4 linked regions of the Caenorhabditis elegans genome follow. The protein of the gene in region 1 interacts with the protein of each later gene in a pairwise test. Each region holds a gene or a part of one and is shown in the gene's direction. Other genes may lie near its edges.

Evidence for each region.
Region 2: the proteins of pfd-6 (region 1) and B0336.7 interact in a two-hybrid assay, tested with the Caenorhabditis elegans proteins (one large-scale study listed by BioGRID).
Region 3: the proteins of pfd-6 (region 1) and eef-1B.2 interact in a two-hybrid assay, tested with the Caenorhabditis elegans proteins (one large-scale study listed by BioGRID).
Region 4: the proteins of pfd-6 (region 1) and F35H10.6 interact in a two-hybrid assay, tested with the Caenorhabditis elegans proteins (one large-scale study listed by BioGRID).

The regions. Positions count from the first base shown.
Region 1 is NC_003279.8:7,282,005-7,286,575, reverse strand, and holds pfd-6 (putative prefoldin subunit 6), read left to right. Parts: upstream 1-2,813; 5' UTR 2,814-2,835; coding exon 2,836-2,893; intron 2,894-2,940; coding exon 2,941-3,011; intron 3,012-3,056; coding exon 3,057-3,181; intron 3,182-3,319; coding exon 3,320-3,446; 3' UTR 3,447-3,612; downstream 3,613-4,571. Other genes in the region: F21C3.6 (DUF4200 domain-containing protein), read left to right, coding at 814-869, 975-1,133, 2,029-2,221, 2,366-2,449, 2,548-2,616; rde-2 (SH2 domain-containing protein), read left to right, coding at 3,705-3,940, 3,984-4,134, 4,195-4,344, 4,392-4,490. UniProt on the Caenorhabditis elegans protein: Binds specifically to cytosolic chaperonin (c-CPN) and transfers target proteins to it. Binds to nascent polypeptide chain and promotes folding in an environment in which there are many competing pathways for nonnative proteins.
Region 2 is NC_003281.10:5,694,229-5,701,002, reverse strand, and holds B0336.7 (THAP-type domain-containing protein), read left to right. Parts: upstream 1-3,636; 5' UTR 3,637-3,654; coding exon 3,655-3,663; intron 3,664-3,709; exon of another isoform or gene 3,710-3,712; coding exon 3,713-3,929; intron 3,930-4,091; coding exon 4,092-4,238; intron 4,239-4,369; coding exon 4,370-4,578; intron 4,579-4,851; coding exon 4,852-5,303; intron 5,304-5,748; coding exon 5,749-6,220; 3' UTR 6,221-6,274; downstream 6,275-6,774. Other genes in the region: Regulator of G-protein signaling rgs-5, read right to left, coding at 744-1,216, 1,368-1,466, 1,587-1,793, 2,074-2,205, 2,261-2,312; lgg-3 (Ubiquitin-like protein atg-12), read left to right, coding at 2,993-3,172, 3,224-3,316, 3,370-3,453; B0336.13 (Transcription initiation factor IIA small chain homolog), read right to left, coding at 6,422-6,554, 6,669-6,774.
Region 3 is NC_003282.8:15,034,689-15,040,264, forward strand, and holds eef-1B.2 (putative elongation factor 1-beta/1-delta 2), read left to right. Parts: upstream 1-2,642; 5' UTR 2,643-2,660; coding exon 2,661-2,802; intron 2,803-2,852; coding exon 2,853-2,933; intron 2,934-2,981; coding exon 2,982-4,081; 3' UTR 4,082-4,150; downstream 4,151-5,576. Other genes in the region: fcd-2 (FANCD2), read left to right, coding at 323-993, 2,053-2,253; hrpu-1 (B30.2/SPRY domain-containing protein), read left to right, coding at 5,387-5,470, 5,525-5,576. UniProt on the Caenorhabditis elegans protein: EF-1-beta and EF-1-delta stimulate the exchange of GDP bound to EF-1-alpha to GTP.
Region 4 is NC_003282.8:8,297,525-8,302,280, forward strand, and holds F35H10.6 (Spindle and kinetochore-associated protein 2), read left to right. Parts: upstream 1-2,411; 5' UTR 2,412-2,416; coding exon 2,417-2,475; intron 2,476-2,523; coding exon 2,524-2,629; intron 2,630-2,671; coding exon 2,672-2,739; intron 2,740-2,783; coding exon 2,784-3,027; 3' UTR 3,028-3,123; downstream 3,124-4,756. Other genes in the region: nprl-3 (GATOR complex protein NPRL3), read left to right, coding at 1-12, 103-182, 227-302, 357-795, 1,121-1,236, 1,291-1,542, 1,664-2,108, 2,161-2,244; F35H10.5 (Centromere protein X), read left to right, coding at 3,254-3,382, 3,465-3,575.

The DNA.
Region 1 (4,571 bases):
ACGCTTTGGAACTCTACTTTCAACTGGTTTCGAAATCTTGTGTTGCAGAAAATAAATACTACAAATGGCACGGATCTATTAGCAAGTGGGAGTCGGAAAAACAGAAAATAGAATGGATGAGACATTTTAGAAGTGGTAATGTATTAAATGTTTTTTGAAATGTTTAGCAAGAGTTTCAAAACTATCCAGAGAGCTGAACAAATATAAAACTGTTTCATTCCTTATATAAATATGAAATAACTTATTATCATGAATTGGATATTTAAAAATGATATTCAAATCTTCAAAGCCATCAAATTAACTTGCAGAGTTTTGTGGTATCAACTAGTTAATAAAATATATTTGGTTTTAATATTCGAATGATAAATATCATTAATGATATAATGATTTAATGATACATATTTTGTGTTGGCTCATTATATCATCATTTACTATATATAAAGCGCGTGTCCTTCTGTCCCTATGTAGTTTGATCTTTGATCAGAGCAACGAAATTTTGGGAAACCTTATGCTAAATGCGCAGCAGACATCGATCGAGGTCCGCGATAGACACCGTATATCTAATGTGTTTTCTCAAAAAGTCGGGGGCCGCGCCGTAGGTGCGGTCCACGGCTGGTTTAAATATAATGTATTATATATAGAATGCTTTGTAGACCAACACAGTTGGAAGTAACAAATTATTCCTAACTTTTCATAAAAGTTGAGGTGTCACTTTTCAATTTTGCAATTCATTGGAGTACACGTGAATCAAAATTTTGAATATCTAGTTAAGAAATTTGCAAACTTTGAATCATTTCCGAAAATTAATGCAAAATGGCCAAAAAAACGGGCGGTATCGAAAAAAGAAAAAAGAAAGAAGAGCTCGCTAGGTGAGTTCTTCAGAGGAGGTCGGCACCCATTCGGCGCCAAACTAATTGTCGATCAACGGCAGATGTCCATTTTTAGGACGGGGGACCATCCAATTATCGTTTCAGAACAAAAAAGTCATCGCCATCGTCGTCACCGACAAAAAGTGAACGTGGAGAACGGGAACGTACAAAATGGAGAAAAAAGCGAAGGGAAATTGAGCTCAAGAAGGTAGCTGAACAATTGGAGCAGCATCGTATTAGAGAAGAGGCGGAGCTTGCAAAAAGGTAGGAGTAATTTCCTTTTTTAATTATAAGGAACTTATTTCTTTTGCTTTGTTATTCATAAAAAAATATTTAATTGCAAAAAGTCATGTTTGTTGGTCAATTTCTTCAACCATTTTTACCGATTTTCATAAAACAGGTGGAAAAAAGCAATTTGATATGATAATCGATGTAGGTGGAATGTTGGTTTTTAGCTATTAAATTGAAATGTTTCTCAGAAACATAATCAAATAGGTATATTCGTATTAAAGTGAGGTAAACTTTGATATTTGGCATTACATCACTAAGTTTCAAAACTTTTTTTTTTCCGTAACTTAAAGTTTGGGTAGCATGAATTAATACTAATCTGGAACTATTTAAGATCCCTATAAAATAGTTGGCAACGTTTTGATTGAATTGGGGTTTGTCTTGAAGTACTCGAAAATTTTCAATTTCTGTAGTATCAACAAAGAGCAGCGATAAAAACCTAACGTAAACGCCACGTGGAGCCAGAACGTCTCATTTCGGTTTGATCTACATGAAATGCGGGAATTGAGACGCAGACATCTCATCTGATTTCGCACGGTGAAGAGCGTGCGGACGTCACAATTTTCTGGAACACTATTCCCGCATTTTTCGTAGATCAAACCGCAATGAGACAGCCTGACACCACGTGAAACGCGACTTTCCTAATAAGAACCAATCGGCGACTATCTCCGCCTACTACTGAAACAATCAACGGATGAAGGCGGAGTAGCGTCACTGATTGGTCTGAACGTAGGCGGAGCGAATCCCTTATTGGTCTTGTAGTTTTCACTTTAGAGTGATTGTAAAGATTAGAAAAGTTGCAATTTCAAATTTCGTTTTGTTATAAAATAAAGTGAACATTCTGATTTGTTGAATTTTCAAACAATTTCAGAAAAACGGAAAATCAGAAGAAAGAATTTCGTAAACGCCAAGAAATATTCGAGAAAGTATTTCAAGACGCTGAATCTGGACAAAAAGCAGTTGAGAATGTGATGAGTGATTATCGGGAGTCAAGAAATGCAATCAAAGTGCAGTTATATACCGATTCAAATGATTTTATTCAAACACAACAAATTGAAAAATCGGTGAGTTTATGGTTTCTGTTTTACGATTTGTTTTATGATTTATTAGTATATTTGGATACAGTGTATATTAAATATTTTATTCAATTTTTTTTAGACTTTCAAAAAAGTGGATCAAGGCTAAAACAAAATTGATTTTTTTTCCAGCATTTCAACGCTGCTGGAGACCGACTTCGTTCTTCTGAAATTCAATTATCAAAACTAGAGTCAGAATTGAAAAAGACAAAACAGGTAAGAATATATTTTTATGTTTATAGAACCTAGGGAAATACCCTGAACTTACAAGAAACTTATTTAATTATTGTATATAATTAAGCTAAAACTTTCAGATACGCGAAGAATATTATCAAGATTCCATGCAAAGTTGGTTTTCACGATTCTGGAAATATCTATATTGAAAATATTTCGTATTGTCACTATTGAATGAAATTTTAGCAAAAGCATAACAAAATTGAAGTTAACATATACAATCCAGTTTTGAACTTCCGCCAAAAACGGAAAATGCGTCAAGAAAGCTTGCTGGCGCTTTGAAGGATGGCGCAGAACCCGTTTTTCTTCTAGATTTTTAAACACAATTTTGTTTTCTTTCACTTCTTTTCCCACTAAAAACGATCAAAATGGCTGATATGGCTAAATTCGAAGAAGAAGTTAACAAGCTCAGAACTCTTGAAAAAGGTTAGTAACTGTTAATTTAAACAATCTTTTCAATCGTTTAATTATAGACCGCGAAAAGTACTTCACGAGTCGCCAAGAGATGGAAATGAGATTAACTGAGAGTAAAAATGTGAAAGCGGTAAGAAAAAGTTTGAGATTCAGTTTTCATGTTATCTTCATTCAGGAGCTTGATCTGATGGAATCCGACTCGAAAGTCTACAAACTCATCGGAGCGGTTCTTGTTCGTCAAGATTTGGAGGAGGCTCGATCGACTGTGGAGAAACGGCTTGAGTTTATCGACTCTGAGACGTGAGTTGTAACGTTTATCATGTTTCTTTAGTATTACTTCTTGCACGCTATTGATTTACACGAAACAAATAAAAATAACAAATAAATTTTACCTTTAAACGTTTTAAAATGCAACAAAACTTTAATTACAATTTTCAGCAAACGAGTGGAAGCCAGCATCTCAGACATTTCGAAGAAGTGTACGGAACAGCGAGACAAGGTGATGAATATGCAAAAAAGCTTCCAGATGATGGCTCAAGCAGCAGCCCAAGCACAGAAGAAATAATCCAGTTTGTTCTATGAATCTCATATTTTTTGCTCTTAATTTGTTATTTTTTGCCTATTCTTCATCTCTGGTGTTTCTCCGAAACGAGAAGATCACATTAATTTTTCTATGAAAAAAATAAGTTTCTTGTTTCGGGGAACCATTTACAATAAATGCTTTCAAACTGTTTTATACCATTTGTGCTCACGTCTATGTTAAAAGTCATTGCTAATTACATCAGTTCTGATTTATAACTATATTCATTTTCTTGCTATTCAGATGCATAATGGGTACCATTCTTATTTTCCTCCAAATCACTATTATGCTCAAAGTCAGCCATCATCGTCGTATAATCCCCAACCACAAATTCAACAACCGCAAACCCAAATATATGGATTGGTAGTTGGTTACAATAAATATGGAAACAGAAATTATCTTTTCTATACCAAAAATATCGATGGATTTGTCGAAATCAGTGGAAATATTCAGAGCCTGCAGATAGGACGCTGGCTAAAGTTAGACATTATTTTATCTGATTTTATTAACTAGCAATTTTAGATTAACTGTTTGTCAGAACTTCGTGGGACAATACGTATTGGATTCCTCAAATAGTTGTGGATATGAAAACTGGGACGTTTTGCCGAATCACAGAAATTCATCGGCGAGATTCTTTCCGAAGTATGAGGCTAACGATGAAGGAGAAATTTTGGTAATCTCAAATGGAAAAAGTTTTAATAAATAAAGAGTACGGATTTTTATAATTTTTCAGATAACAGCTCGATTTGATGTAATAGTAGATCGGAAAAATAATTTGTATGATTTCACCAGTTACGATATTTCCTATGATCATATTATTGACGACTTTAGTCTGATCAAATCATCATGTCAACACTATGATGGACGCAGTTTTATTGTTGAAGTAAGTTATCGATTTTAAAAAAAACTATTAAAATAAAAATATTGCAGGCTCAAGCATCTCTGGCAGGTTGGGTCGCATTGAGTGTGCATGAAGATCCACAAAAGCTACACACCTGTGATGCTGTAAGCCGAAATGGATATCAATCAGTATGTGGCAAAAGTGTCCTGGTTCATTTTGAATTGTTCACATTTTGGTTTTTGCTTATCAAAATTTCCCAGAACATATAA
Region 2 (6,774 bases), on another chromosome or scaffold:
CAGCCGAGAGCTTCAGGACACTTTTAACGAGGGGCTGTTCTGTACGCGAACAATAACGTGACTTGTGAAAACGGGCGGTTGAGTGAGAATTTTGGAAGAAGAGGGGAGAAAATAAAAATAAAAAAGTTTTGAAAGGTGGAGAGTTCCAAATCACTTATGTATTCTAACCTAAAAATGAATATCATGAAAAATTCCAAATTTATAGAAGAGAGAGTTTTCTAGAAATTTGTATTCCTTTGTGAGGGAAAACATAGAGTAGCGGAATAGAAAAGTAGAGAAATCGGTTTTTGAAAAATTGGTTTCATGAATATTTTTTTCTGGTTTCGTAGTCTAAAATTTATGAAAGAACAACGATTAGTCTTTTAGGTCTCGACACGATTGATATAATTTTTAATATAGTTTAATCTTCAAAAAGAATAGTCCAGAATATGGAGGGATCTCATTTTCCGAGTTTCAAAAATATGTGTAAGCAAACTAAAGGCTTTTGCTCTCACAATGTGGAACTTGATACGCTTTTCGTATTTTTGGCTATAAAAACTTTCAAAAAAAATCAATTTTATTATTTCTAAAAGAATGATTCACATTTTTTCACTCTGTTTGGAAATCTGCCAGGTTTGTTTTTAAGTGATGCTATTGGTTCACAAACCACAGTGGCCGCCTAGTTATTTCAGCTTTTTTTGAAAAAAAAAATCAACTAAAATGAGAAGAGAGAATGTACACATTCAATTTTAGGTGTAACTTACATCATGAAGCCTAAAAAAGCATGCAGTCTTTGCAGTTCGAAAAGCTTTTCGATTCGGTCTTCCAGATTCTTCACAAATCAAAGATTCCATTTCTGCACGAATTGCTGATCCCAAATCAATCATATTTGTTGCTTGCATTGAAAAATATTTTTCATAAAGTGCCATTGCATCTCCAAGTGCTTCAGAATCTTCCATTAAATCCAAATTTGCCTCAAAACTATCACATCCTAATAGAAATTGAATAGTATCATGATCTTCTTTCTCTTTTATAAATTCCAAAAATGATAGAAGCAATGGTTGAACTTTCAGAATATCTGCCAGACTACAACCATCAGAAAGTACTTCCAACTCGTGTTTCTTATAATAAACACTATTCTGAAATTCATCAAAATATCGATATTCGAATAGAGATTTCACAAAATCCTGAGCTTCATCAAAACAAGACTTTTGTAGTGGAGACGCAGATAATTTGTCTGAAAATAAAGAAAGTTTATCTTCAATAAAATTGTTGCATAATCTGTTTTTTAAAGTTTCCAAAATTGATAAAGATTCAGAAGTGCTAGAGAAAAATAACCCCCTTTATTCCACTTTATTTTTAATTTTTAAATTTTGTGAATGGCCTACCATCTACAATTTGTTTTATTTTCCGTGGCAAGGCTAGTGAACTTGTTGAACCGTCATCAATATATTTGTCATAAATACTTTTGGCATCTCGAAGGGATACTGTAAAGTTGAAAAGTCATCATTTTTTCAGGTCATTGCTTAAAAATTGGGGGCACAAGTGGATCGTACCAATCAAATTGACATTTTTTAGATATGAAAATATATTAAAATCCAACTCACACTCTTGTGCAGCCTGAATTTGTTCTGAAAAACTTGATTTGAATCCTTCAACGTGCATCCAAAATTTGATTAAATTGAGTTTATCAGTTGAGTCAAGGTATTGGATAAAATATGACAAAGCTGACGAATCTATGAGAAGTCGATCCAGGGAAAATGCCAATTGAGGCTTTTGCTTCACTATTATTCCCTCGTGATCTGACCCGGAACCTGGAAAATTTTCAATAAAATTTATAAGAATTATAGACCATGTGAAATCTGGGTTCTATAATGTGAACATAAAATATGTTTTTTCATCAAAAAATTTGCCAATTTTCTCTGACTCTGGGCCACGCCTCTTTTGTGGGCGGGGGTACGACGCGAGACTCTTGATCAATTTCGCCCTGTTATAAATGTTTTCCTACTTATCAACTAGTATTGGGTTACTTCATATTTTTTCGAGTTTTTCAGAATTTTTAAAATGTGTTCTCAGAAGTTACAATCAACTCACCGATATCCGCTGATTGTTGAGCAACTGTTAATGAATTTCTCTGTGCTGGAATACAAATATGATCATTTACAAGTGAATCTCTATGAGCATTCCCATTTTGATAAGCTCCGTCAGATGACGTGGCAGTATGACCTAAATTTTTTCAATTAGATTATCGATTCCTTACGTGGTTTTCTTAGAAACTTGCCATTTTGTTCTTTGTCTTTTTTGCGGCGAAGTCGCCCGAGAAAACTGCTCATTTTTCAATATTTTATGACATTTTCTGAGTAAAATTTAGAAAATCGAGCTTTATGAAATAAATAGAAGGGATTTATTTTTGTCCACAAGAGGGTTATCAACTTCTGCGCACCCCCTGTCTGCACGTCTCCGTCTCTTTTCTCTAAAGCACACGACAAACGCGTCAACGACCACTCGAAGAAACGAGGCAAGAAAATATATGTCAGCTGCGACCTTTTTTTAGCGTTTAAGAAATATTTTCTTCAATATTCTGAGAGAAATTCAAACTTCCGCCATTTTACTACAATAGTAATTGGTTTTTTTAAATTCCAGTCGAGACGCAAGTTCCCAGAGTTGATTGTGTTCCTTTACATTCTAGCGTTTTTCACGTTTGAAGTTTTCAAACTATAGCAAGTATAAATGCTTGTGTGTCAGATTTTTTTGTAAAATATTATTGAATTTTTAAAATTTTACGAGCTAATTAGTTTTTTAGATTTTAAAAACCCTGTTTTTTAAAAAAACACATCTTAAATCCAGTTCTTTCCATAAAATAGCAATATTCCAGGCGAGACCAAGGTCAAAATGTTAAGTATGTTCCTTCAAAGCAACCGTAGTTATCATTCAAATTTTTTTTCGAATTTTTTCGGCTCTAATACTTTATTCCCATTTGTTTTTTCTTTTTAAGTGGGGTTTTTTGCAGAAAATGGAAACAGAAACCGCCACAACTCCAACAGGAAATACGGAACCCACCGCTGCAGCTTCCGCCGAACCACCAAAGTCAGATAAGGTGACCGTAAGGCTGAGGAATATCGCAGATGCGCCAGTTCTTAAAAATAAGAAAATGGTGGTGAATCCAACGGACACTGTTGCTTCCTTCATCTTGGTAAGAATTGAAATTCTTAAAAAATGTGAAAATAATATTATTTTCTTCCAGAAATTGCGAAAACTGCTGAATATTCAAGCCAACAACTCACTCTTCTTGTACATTGATAACACATTTGCCCCATCTCCTGACACCACGTTTGAGGTTAGTTTTAATTTGAAAAACTCGATATAATTTTATAAAAATCAAATTTTCAGACGCTATCCCGATGTTATTCTGTGAAAATCACCGATAAGGAGATTCTGGAGCTTCAGTACAGCATTACACCGGCCTACGGATGAAAAACATGCGAAGCGGGATTTTTTAAATGTATTATATGTACTTGATGTCACAATAAATTCACTTATACCACAATTTCATTTTTACTTTTCAAAAAAATATAATATGTTTTTTCAAGTCTTTATCTACTTGCTATCTCCACTTCTCAAAGAAAGTAACAGGAAATAAATTTTAAAATATTTCAGATCTCTAGATAAAAGATAATGAGCAAGGTAAGTCTTAGAACTTTTTTAAACTGAAAAATTGAATCTCAAATTTAAGAAAATCGATCACGATGAGGATGATCGAGATTCGTCGGAATACGAGGAAATGGATGATGATGGGGAAGAAGCTGAGATTGATATGGAGCAACACGAGATGATTTATGAAAAGGATATTGAGCCGGTCGAGCAGTTTCAGCAGGAATATATTAGTGATCAGGAGCCAACTTCGAGCAATCATGAAGAAATTCCTGTTAGCATGAAAATTGACTACGAAGGTTCATTATTTATAGAACTACTGGAAAAATTGAAAAAAATCAAGTTTTGAAGTTTCCAAACATTTTTTTGGGAAATTGAAAATTTGATCTTCCAGGTCCAATTTATCTTTTGAAAAACTTTTAAAATTTGAGAAAAATCAAATTAAACATTAATTTTTACAGAAGTCTATCCACACAACGCCGTTCAAGTAGACAATGCTCACGAAATGGTTGAAGCTGAAAAAGTTTATTACGAGAATGAAATGGAAGATCTCGTTTATCATGAGATTTACAGAATTGAAGGCAATCAGAAACAGGAAAATTATAAGAGTATGTGCATTTAAAACTGGAATTTTGATTATTTAAAAAATCCGGTTAAAATTGCTAAAAAACGAAACAAAATTCAAATCTTTGCGAAAGGAAATCCAGAAAAAAAAATAACATGACCTTGAAATTTTCAGGAATCCGAAATATAGTTGGATCAAGCGCCTCCTGTCTCGTCTGCCAACGTTCCGAATCCGAAAAAATCCGTCTTTTCAAGTGGCCAAAATCAGAAGAACTCAAAGAGCAATGGTTACATTTCTTTCGGCTTCCAGCTACAGTACTTCAGAGTGCAACACAAGAACCATATATCTGTTGTTATCACTTCTCAGCCGACACTTTTGTCATGGTTAGTTGGAATTCTACGAATTTCATGAAAAAAATTATCTCAAAGCACGGAATTAAAAAAAAGAAAGTTTCTCCAAAAAAAAACATCAAAAGACCCATTTTCGCCAAAAACACAAAAAAAAACCAAAAAAGGCAAGTCCAACGATATTGGGAAAATTTGAATTTGTGAAAAAGTTTGAATATTACAAAAAAAGTTTATAGCAGGAAATTTTTTATTTTTCAAGCGAGTTTTTTGAATTTTGAATTTTTCTTTAGAATTAATATTTCTTTTCAGATCGATGATCGAATCTTCTGGAAAATGACCGCACTTCCAAAATATCGACAACGTCGTCCGGGGCTCGCCGAGCCATTTCCATGGGAGCCCGCTGTAAAGCATAAAATGGAAATGATGCAATCAACCGATACAACCAACAATTCTTCAGTCGTCGAGTACAAAATTCGCTATCGAATGCCTTTTAATAAGCATAAAACACGAAATGTTCATCAAGTTGCAGTAATGACTCCAGTTGCTCAACCACATTTATATTATGAATTTCATTTTAATCGATATGGTTTGAATAATACGAAATTCTACGCGTGTTTGAGTTGTCGAAAAGCAAAAACTGAAAGTGGAATTCGTGACGTCATTCGGACAATTCATCTCGATGGATATAAATTTTTGAGCAATGGAGATCCATTTAATGGACATCATTTTGCATGTAGACCTCATAATGTCTACGATTACAAGTATGTTTTTTCTTTTAAAAATATGAATTCACAGGATAAAATTCGATCAATGGGTCTTGGCAAAACATTTTTCAGCTACCGTACCCATGACAACGGTAGATTTGCAATACTTTTTCTTAAAACGTTTTTCAGTGATAATGTTGGAGAAAATTATTTTATTCATTTTTTCTATGTAATACAGGGAAACACTTCCACAATTTTAATTTTTATTTTTTAAACCTCCGATTGTCAAGAGAAAAGAAAATCTACCGTAACCGGAGGGTACGGTTGCCATAAAGTTTCAGTCGGGGCAAGACCTGAATTCAGATTTGAGTACAAAAATCGTGGCGAGACACGCCGAGGAAACATGTTTGCGTTTTTAAAATAGGCTTTCAAATCGTTTCAAAAATGACAATATACTTTAAGCATTTGATTTTTTTCTGATTTCCTAATCACTTCTTTTCAGATCATCTTGGCGTCCAGTTCCCGGTCAAAATGGAGAAGCCAATTTTCTCGATGAGGTTGTCTACGTTGATGAGGGTGGAAATTCCCTGGAATGGCATGCCGTGACCCGTCCCGGAGACAATCGAGAAGTTGAAGCGGTGCATGAGAAAGAGGATCCGCCGATTATGATGTATGATGGTAATTTCGAAGATCCCATCACCGAGGAAGTGATCGAAACGAATTATGTCTTGGATGAACCACCTGTACTATATTCCCAAGATCCGGATCGCAAGCCTAAGCCATCGAAAAAGTCCAGAATAAAGTGCCATCTATGCTTGAAGACCAGCTTTTCGTCAACACAAAGTCTGGTTGATCATCTTCAAAAGCACATTCTCGATGAGAAAGAATGCAAGCGTTGCCAGAAGCGGATCTCGTGTGATTCAAGAGCAATATGCATTCGGAGAGGTGTTTGCGGGAGTTGTTTTGTTGTTTAGATTTTCCTTGTTTGCATTTTTTCAAATCAATAAATTGTTGTTCGTTCGAAAAATATATTATAGGATTGAGAGAGATAGAGGAGGTCTTGCTGTGACAGCGTGAGAGATCTAGAAAAGAAATGAGCTGGGCCCATACAATAGAAAGCTTGTGTAAGAGAAGAAATTGGATTAGAAAATGAAACAATGATTTGGAAAGTTCATCTAATCACTGTCATCATCTTCATCGTCGCCTGCAGCGGCCGCGTGAGCTCGATTGACTCTCTTGGATGGTCCCTGGGCGCTCAATGTCTGCAGAAGGCTTGTTTGACGACCATCACAGGCGACCACTTTCAGTCTGAAATATTAATAATTATAGATCATCGAGAAACAAAAATTTTTATAGAAAATTAATAAACAATTGCTTTTTTCTAGATTTTTTATTTTTAATACAAATAAAAGAAACACTCACTTATCAATAGGCTCATCAAACGATCGCTGGGGATCTTTCAACGTGACATTATTGAGAATAAACGTCCAAACGTTATCACAATATCGATAAGTGAGCAGTTGTGTCG
Region 3 (5,576 bases), on another chromosome or scaffold:
ATCAATATTTCTTTGGAAAATTAATTTTTCGGCGAAAAAATGTCGATTTTCCGAAGAAATGCATATAATTTTGTTTAATTTCAGAAAAAAAATTTTATTTTTTTTATTTCCATGAAAAAAAACATGAATTTTTCTTCTAAAAAAAACGAAAAAAAAATTCAAATTTCAGCAAAATTTTTGCAGAATGTCTCCGTTTTAAGACGAAAAATAACAAAAAAAAATCGATTTTTTCAGGAAAAATTTCAAAAATTTACTTTTTTCCACACTTTGTTTTCTTCTAAAATTTTCTTCTAAAAAAAAACGAAAAAAATTCAAATTTCAGCAAAATACGCGCTCGCCTATCTCAAAAAAGATTGGAGCAAAGTAGACGAGCTCTGGAGCAAAGGAACTCGCTACACATGTGCAGTTCGTGACATTCTTCACCATTATATTCGTCTTCGAAAGGAAAAAGATCAACTTTTGGCGATTCAATGGATTCTGACAAATAAAGTAGTTCAGCTGGTTCCAGAGGATGATAAACGGAAATCCTGCGTATTCTCACAACAATCTGATGATGATTTATTGGAAAAAGAAGATCGAAAAGCGACATTTTATTGTATTAGTAAAACGACTTTTGGTGTCATTTTTAAAACTTTATTCGGAAATTTGAATTCTCGATGCTTAAAGTATGATATGTCGGCCAGTGCTGCCAAGAATGGAGGTGTCGACATCGAGGATACTCTGGAATCCTGGGAAACTGCTTCATCATGCTTTCTGATCCTTTGCCTTCTCCTTAGAATCAATAAAATCCGAACTACGGCGGTTTTGACGTCGGCTATTAAAGAGGGAAAACAATTTCTGATTACTGTTTCTAAAAAGAGCTCATTCATATTTTTAATGGATAATATTACGAAGGGAACCAATTTCGATACGATTTGTAGAAGAGTTGAGAAGATTTTATCGGCTGTTCAACAGGGAAATCGTGTCTTGCAGAGTATTGGAACTTTTGCAAAGGTTCTTTTTTTTGCGATGGAAAATTCCACGTTCTCAGGATTTGGATTTTCAGAGGAAAATGGATTTTTTTTTTCAGTGTTTCGGGGCAAAAAACAAAAAAACAGGCTTCTTAATTTTTGGATTTTTTAAAGAGAAATTTGATTTTTTTTTGGTCCGAAATTGAAATAAAAATTCTTTTTTTTTTAATTTGTGATGGCGAAAAATAACAAAAATTGAAATTTGTAGAAAAAAATCTTCAAAAACAAAAAAAAATTCGAATTTCGATTTTTTTAAAATGAACTTTTCAGAATATGAAACCCATTAAAAACCACATTTTGCTTTAAAAATTTTTTTTTGTAAAATACGAGAAGTGAGTTTTTGTCCAAAAACCAAGAAAAAAAATTAATTTTGAACCAGAACAGACCGGAAAAAAAAACCATTTTGGACCGAAAAACAATTTTTGCAAAAAATAACCATAAAAATTCATTTTTTACCCAAAAAACCTAAAAAAAACCAAAAATATCCCTTTTTACCCAAAAAAATTAATTTTTCCCAAACCAAATCCAAAAAAAAATTAATTTTTGGTTTAAAAAACCAGAAATACAATAAAAATCCAAATTAAAAAAAAAAAAAACCAAAAAATCCTTAAAAATCAATTTTTGACCAAAAAACTAGAAAAAAAACCTTTAGAAAAAGGAAGAAATAATCTTTTTTTGCCCAAAACAAATCCAAAAAAAAAATCATTTTTTGATTAAAAAAAACCAGAAATCCAAGAAAAAAATCCAATTTTGGCCAAAAAACCCATTTTTAGCCACAAAACCCCCACAAAAAAACCATTTTGCAATTATGCTCAAAAAAACTTTTAAAAAAACCAAGAAAAAATTATTTTTGTCCAAAAAAAATCCAATTTTGTCCGAAAAAAACAGTTTTTTATCAAAAAAAAATCCATTTTTGGCTAAAAAAAACCCAAAAAATTTTATTTTTGCCCGAAAAAATCGAAAAAATTTTCCAGATCCTGAAAACGTGTTACCTCCACTGCAATTTTTTTCTCAAAAAAAAACAAAAAATCTCAATTTTCAGACGAACAAATGCGTGCTTCTTCTCAAAAAATTCCCGGAACTCCGTGCAGAAAGTGAGAATTGCCTTCGAGTAATTCATTCGGCAATGGTGAAAAATGAATGTTTGAATGCATTCACTGTTGGACTCGTCAAAAGTCGAAGTATTGATGGAGATATTATTATGGATCAGCGTGCCAGTGAAATTGACTCGGATTCCGAATGAAATTTTAAAATATTTTAATTTTTCGCGTTTTTAAACGGGTTTTCTCTGTATTTTTAACTTTATTTTATTTTTTCCAAGTAAATTTGTTGTTTTTCGTTCAGAAATTGCATTTAGAAGCTGAGAAACCATGGAAAATCATTAAATCATGATTTAAATCACGATAAAAATAGATTTCGCTTCAAATTTTGAACTTCCCTCCATTAAACTTTAAAGGCGCATGGAGATTCACAGCGCATGGGTCTCGCCGCGCCGTGTTGCATGTGAAGAAATTTTGGGTAATTTTTGCAGTTTTCTAGTATTTCTAGCGCTGTTGTTCGGTTTTTTATTTGTTTTGACGCTCGGAAAATTTATTTATAACTTTATTTAATGTGCCAGCATAGTTTATTATTCAATTTTCAGGTAAAACAATGTCTGTCGAGGGTCTTCTCTCTGAGGTCAAGCACTTCAACGCTCATCATTTGGATGCTGCTCTTGGAGAACAATTGTTCTATGGAGGGAAGCGTGTCTTCTCCGACGTTAAGCCAGGAACTTCTTCTGGTGGTGACCACGGTATTTATTATTATTTTTTATATAAAATGTTTAATATTCAAGTCTTTTAGGATGCAAGGGAGGAAAGAGCGAGCTCAAGGGAGCTATCCACAATGCCAAGCATGCCGCTGATAAGGCTTTGAACAAAGAAGGTAAATTTGGCATTTTCTGAAAGCTAATTTAACGCATTTCTGTTTCAGGAGGAGAGGACGTCTCCAAGCTTCGCGAAGAGCACTCTGCTCTTGCCAAGAAGGTCGACGACTTGGCCAGTCTTGTCGCTGAGCTTCAACTTCAACTCTCGACTCTTCGCCAAGGACAGGTAAATCATCGTCGTCACGTTTTGATTCTTGGCGACGGAAATCTCTCGTTTTCCCTTGCCATTGCGTCGTCAGATCCGGAAACTGTATACTTTGCAACTGTTTTTGATTCGAAAGAACAGTTTTTGAAAAAATACAACGCTCATGACACGTTAAACGCTCTAGACGCTTTGAGCAATGTGATCCTATGTTTTGGAGTTGACGCGACAGATCTGCCGGTTCGCTGGAGCAACATCTTTAACACGGTTATCATGAATTTTCCACACCCTGGCGGTAAAACCAATCTGAGAAAGAGTAAAATTTTGCTCTCCGGAATTTTTGCTTCCCTCAGAAGTATTATGGATAGCCAAGCAGTATTTCTTCTCAGTCTTGCCATTGGACAGTCTGGGCTCGAGAAGGTCTCTGATCCGTGGATGAACGAGCTCCCAAGTCACAAAAAAGATTCCTGGCAGGCAATCTATCTGGGCGCCGAGAATGGCTTCATTCTCGACAGTCTGGAGAGGTTCGATACTGATAGATTCGCATCTTATAGATCTTCCGGTTATAAAGAGACTAAAAAAGGGTTCAATAATCGTGAAGGATTGACATTTTCCTTCAAAAAGTGTGATAATCAGCAGAAGTCTCTGCGCGATTTTCAATTGGCTGAGCCTCCGAGGAGTGGAAAGTTCAAGTTCAACTACTATAGGCCCTTCTACGCCCAGGATCTGTCGATTTTGTTCAAAATCGGTGAGAGCGAAGGAGAGAAGCTCGCCGTGGAGCTCGTAAAATCGATCGCTGGAAATTGTTTAGCTGCGATTTCTGAGATTGAATATCTTCGATCCATCTGCCCAGATCCGCCACTCCCAAATAGGATCTACAGAATTATATGGCACGGCCTCGAGCTTCCGATGGGACGTGAAATGTGCTCCAGAATCCATGAAGAGCTAAGAAATCGGATTGCTGAGGAGATTGTCGCCAATAATCTTCCACTGGTGCTCACCTGAAAGATCTGCTCGTCTTCTGTTAATTTATTTGTTGTATGTTATTGTTATGAAAAAATAATCGTTGAAAAAGTTGCGAAGTTATAGTTTCCGAGGTCCAAAAGCCTTAATTTTATATTTTCCATTTTCTAATACTAATTTTTTGTTTTCAGACCAGCTCCGTCGCTGCTCCAGCTGCCGCACCAGCCGCTGCTAAAGAGGAAGCTGCCGGAGACGACGACTTCGATCTTTTCGGATCCGAAGACGAGGAAGAGGACGAGGAGAAGAAGAAGGTCGTTGAAGAGCGCCTTGCTGCCTACGCCGCAAAGAAGGCCACAAAGGCCGGCCCAATCGCCAAGTCCTCGGTCATCCTTGACGTAAAGCCATGGGATGACGAGACTGATCTCGGAGAGATGGAGAAGCTCGTCAGATCCATCGAGATGGACGGACTTGTCTGGGGAGGTGCCAAGCTGATCCCAATCGGATACGGAATCAAGAAACTCCAGATCATCACCGTCATCGAGGATCTCAAGGTTTCGGTCGATGATCTCATCGAGAAGATCACCGGAGACTTCGAGGATCACGTCCAATCCGTCGATATTGTTGCCTTCAACAAGATCTAAAGGCCTAATCAGTTGTTCTTATATCCATTATTTCTATCTATTGTATTTCAACCTTGTGAATAATTGGTTTATTCGGTGTTTTTCTCCATTTATAGACAATATTAAATGTTTTCATCGGTTAAATAAACGTTCATTAGGTGCAAATTGCGTCAGTTCTTCGTTGAATAAATTTAATTTCCTCCGGTTTGTGAACTCTGGTGCAGTACTGAATATTAAAATCACAGAATTCAACTCAAAAAATATAAATTTAGAGCAAAAATGCTGCTCAAATGGAACACAAAATCGATTCCGCCGTGAGTTTTTCCCCATTTCCCGCCAAAAAAATTCAAATGCACGAAAAACACGCCAAGCGCACGAGAAACGCGTCAGCAACGGTTACAAGTTTCGCGCAAAGCGTCATTTTTCGCGTGATTCAATTTCACAAAGAAATTTCGCGTTTTCAGCCGTTTTTCATCATTTTTTTGCGAGAAAAATGTGAAAATAATTTCCTGTTACATGGGAAATATGATTTTGCGTTGAAATTTCGTTGAAAAATCGATAAAATTCGCGGAAATCTCATTTTATTGTCCGATGGGTCGAGATTTCCCAGTTGCTTTCGCGCGTGAAAGTATCGATTATTTTTCTCGTTGGTGTGAATTAGTTATTCGCTTAATATGCCGCATTTTTCGTAGCATATAAAATTATTTAATTTTCTCAAATTCCAGGCATGCGCGCCTCTCGTCGCAGTGGTGCCAGTGGAACGCTCAACAAGGCCACCGTTCCGTTGCTGCCTAAAAATCGACTTGTAAAGGTAGGAGGAATATTTCAATATAAAATTTCTTCATTAATATAATTATCTTTTCAGGAACTACAAGACCGCGGACTCGACACTTCCGGGGTGCAGACAGTACTTGCCG
Region 4 (4,756 bases), on another chromosome or scaffold:
AAGTCATCTTCAGTGAGTTTTTAAATTACTGAAAATCAATAGTTATTTGTGATCTTGTTGAATAAAGTTCAATTTATCATAAAAATAATTTTGAATTTTCAGTGCTGTGATGTGTTTTCTCACTGGACAAAGCGGCGAAAAGATTGTATCTATTTATCCACATCGAAAACCAGCTACCAAAGGTAATCTGAACAATATAAAATCTCAAAAAAAAAAACATTTTCAGCTCCATCGAAAGATCCACAACCTTCCAGCTCTAATCCAGGACAATGTGTGAAGCCAGTTCTTACAAGTGTCAAAGAGTTCGTTTAAATCCGAATATTTAAATTTAAATATTCAAACGTTCAAAATTTCAGTCCAAGTTATGGTTTCGGACGTGTGGATACAGAATTCGACATGTCTCTCGGAATGCTTGCTTATGTGTTCAAAACTCAAGAAATTGCGTGTAACGATGGGTTCGATATGAAGATCAATAATCAAAGATTCGTTGCATATCCGAAGACATGGAAAGCACGTGGTGAATCCACCAACTATCAGATTTCGATTGTTTTTGCACTTAAAAACGGATGTGAACAGCACACAGCGTCCGCATATCAAACACTTTCGAATAAGATTGCAGTCAGTTTGGTCATGCTCCAAAACTATTTTGGATTTCTGGAACGAGAGGACAAGTGGGCAGATAATGCTGAAGAACCTAATAAAGATCATCCTCTGGAAGAGTTCGCAAAGACTAGTTTCATAGTTCAACCATTGGCTGAAATGTTTGAAGAAGTGCGAAATCGAGGAAATATTCATGTAAGATTCAAATTCTTTTAAATTCAGATTTGTTTCCACTAAAGGTTCTATCAGATTTTGATTACAATATTTATTGTAATTTCGCGATATTTTTGACATGTCATTTCAAAGGAACACGCATTTTTCCCATGGTGGTCTTGTCACGATATCAGGGTGCCAGACTTTACAGATTTGTTCATTTGATGTAGAAAAAAAACTTTTGAAATTTTAAATTCTAACCTGTTCAGAAAAACAGAATTTATCATGTACCATTTAAGCACCTAGTAGTATCACTTTACGCGAATGGATGATAAAATTCAATCTAGACTTAAAAAAACATTTCCAGAAATATCTCATAAATTTTGTGGAACTTGGATTTTGTGATGAAGCACATGCCTTGACGAAGTTAAATGTAGTGCCGAAAGGAAGGCAGGAAATCGATGAAATCGTCAGAAAAATGAAGTGAGTTTTTCCTATAATAACCCATTTTTTGGAACTACAAAAACTATTTTTCAGACCTTATCACGGAATTTTGCTTCTCGAAGATGTGTGGCCAACTCCAGATGCAAATCCGATTGTTGCTAAACTTCTCAGTCATTGTAGTCCGGATCGTTCAATTTTGGATATGTCAACGGCGTCTGGAATCCCGATTTTTGAAGTTTTCATGATCATTCGACACTTACTGCAATGGACACGTGCTATTCTCATTTATCCTTTATGTAATACAAACATCTATACATCTGCAACAAGTCCACAACCTCTTGATAAGTGAGCAATTTTTTTGTTTTTTAAACTATATTTTATAAATTCAAAACAAAATCACTATTTTCATAGAACATTTTGATTAGTCAAGGATTTTATTGTTACATTGAAATTCAACAAGTTACAGAATGGCAGAGAAGTTCACAGCTCAATTCGGCAATACCATTCACTTGGCTGCCGGGCTGGCTCATTTCAATCCCCCAAAAACACTGGATACGTTTATCCGAAAAAACCTTCCTCTACACGAACAGGGAGTTCGTGCGAAGCTTGTCGTTGCTTTGCTTCGTCATCAAATGCTCATGCAGTTGCATCAATTTTACTATATTCTGAAACCGTACTCGATCGCGATCCTACCAGAACCAAAAGAGCCATGTCCCGCTGAGTTTACGAAAATCATCGAGGAAAGCACATTACCAAATGACGTGAAGGGAGTTGTAGCGGATATTTGTGCTGAAATGCTCGAAACTACATCTTATGCCAGTGTCAAACGAACGTTGAGCCTTTTCGTAAAAGTTGCTCCGATGATGGATGGAAATCATCATTTGGAAGAAATCAAATACAAAAATAATTTGGTAAGAAATTGAATAGGGTAAATTCTGCTAATACTGATTAAGTATTTTCCAGGATCGTACAGAAATCGAGGGAGTTTTCGTGTCTTTCAAGCTTGTAATTGCTACATTCCGCCGTCCTGATTTTGTTGCCGAGTAGCCAAGGATCTTTTATTCCGGTTTTTATATTTTTCTCATTTATGTACAAAAAATGAAGCATGATTTTACCCCCTATATTAAATTTGTTTTTTTTTCTGAAAGAGGTTATTGCATAAAACCTACTATTTTTATAAATTTTTGAATACCTTCTCCAAAAAATGTATTCAGCTCAAATGGAAAACTATGTCTCTGCACAGGAAAGATACATGAAGTATTTGGAAGATTTGTCAGAGTGAGTACATCAATCGAATCGGAATAAATAATTGACAATTATTTACAGAAATGTTATTCATCCTAAAATTGCAACTGAGGAGAAGGAATTCAAAAAGTTGCAAAAACAGTGCGAGGAGTATGCAAAACTCAAGTTCACATGTCAACGGCTTCTGGTAAAGAGTTCAAAGTTAGACCTAAATCATCTTTTTTTCTAGAATGAGGCTCCAAAAACAACAGAAGGAAAGACCGAACTGGGACAGAGAGTTTTTATGAATATTGAAGTGTAAGATACTTATTATAACTACTACTTTTATTTTTGAATTTAAGGAGAGACACGAAGCATGTGGTTGTTAAGCTGTGTGACGATGTTTATGTGGAGATGAAGCTTCAAGACGCTATCAAAACATGTGATCGGAAGATGGACAGCTTAAAAAATATGATGGAAAAACTGCAAAAGTCAACCAATAAACTGAAAACCGACTTGACAATGCTTCTTGCCACGATGGATATGCCATATGTGGAACCATTCAGATTCACACTTCCTTCAGACTTCCCGTTTCGAATGGAATAATATTTGAATTTGTTCAATTTGTTTTTTTTTCCTATTTTTCCCAGGTCTCATCCACATTTCCCTACGATTTCTTTAAATAAATAACTTGTTTGTTTCAAATAACGGGATAGAAGATTTTTATTTGAATACAGTAATCCAGTTATAAATTCTCGTTATTATCTACTTCCTGAAATTTCAGACTTCTCGCGTATATCTGTGTAATTAGTAAGATTTCAGAATTTCAATCATGGTAATGCACATCAAACAGTCTACAGTAAGATCGATGTTGATTGTGGCTCGGCGAGGCAAGAAACGGTTGAACTTGGATCCGGATGCACTAGCTGTTCTCACAGCTCTTATCAATTTGCTTGCACAGGTGATTAATATGATTTTTTGAATTTTTACTCTTATTTAAAAAAATTTATTTTACAATTTTTTAAAATAACTTAAAATTTCAGGAGTCGGTAGCTCGAGCCGCACAGTCCGCTGCCAACACTGGAAGCCGCCACGTCACAAAAGAACACTTGAAACGAGTCATCGCTCAGCTAATGCTCGATTTTGCAATCTAAAAAAATCATCTCTTTAACTACCGATCTTCTTGTTTTCTTTATAATTCTGTATAAAACTAACTTATGAAATGTGTTCCACACAAATTGTTTAACCACTTGCGAGTTTGCGAAAAACATGAGTCACAGAAGCCGCCTGATCAGTTCCATTTGATTTTCGTGTCACACAATCATTTCAATCGGAGTTTTAGAATTCAGAGTATCGAATGTTTGTTTTTTCAAAGAAAGAGAATCGGCAAAAAATAGTTGAAGTGGAAGAGCATCGAGACTGACCAATACTGTGGTCATTGTTTGCACACATATTGAGCTCCAACCGGAAAGCAACAGAACAGAGACTTAGTGCAAGTTTGAAAGTCTAAGGTTTTCAAAGTTGAACCTACCCAATTAATTGATACAATCAAAATTTGAAAATTACGATTGTTGTTTCTAAATTCAACTTGCACAACTGAAGTTAACTAAGATCTAATTCCAGGATAAAGTATAGAAAAAAGGTCAGAATCTAAAGTTGTCAGTTTGAAATATGTTTGCTCGGCATTCGGCGACAATTTCTTTTGCCCATAAATATAACTTTCTTCGGAAGTTGGGTAACTTTGGCAAAAGTTGAATTTGTTTAGGCCGCGCCGAAGTTCCGACCGAGTTCAATCCAACATTTCCCCATGTCTTTCCAAAAGCGACACAAGATAAGTTTTGTTCAAAGATTGGCCTTGGTTGAATCAAAGTTTTGTTAAAGCAAAACTTGACAAGAATTTCCACTATTTAATATAAGTTTAATAAGTTAAGTTAAGTTAAGCATAAGCTATGTATAAGTTTAATTTGAAATAGATGCCATCCTGCAATTTGGCATTTTTAGTGGTGACGGCGTCAATCAGTCACACTCGTTGGTTTTTTACTCTTTGATTCAGAAGATACAGTACAGTGGTCGAAGGCGAGAAAAACTGTAGAGAAGAGAGAAATTGAGATAGAATTGAAGTCTAGCATGCGCAGTTTGTATTGTCATCGAGAGACTATTGAAGTTGACGAGACTCTGATCGGGAAGGGGGAGGCTTCGCGCCCCGCGGCCGAAAACCAGTGATTGATCTTCTTTTTGACGATGATCGGAGTAAGGAGTGGAAAAGTCTAAACGGCATTCGGAGGGGATGCTCCTTCTTCCGCTCTTACTCCTCTCTCGTCATTCTATGAGCATA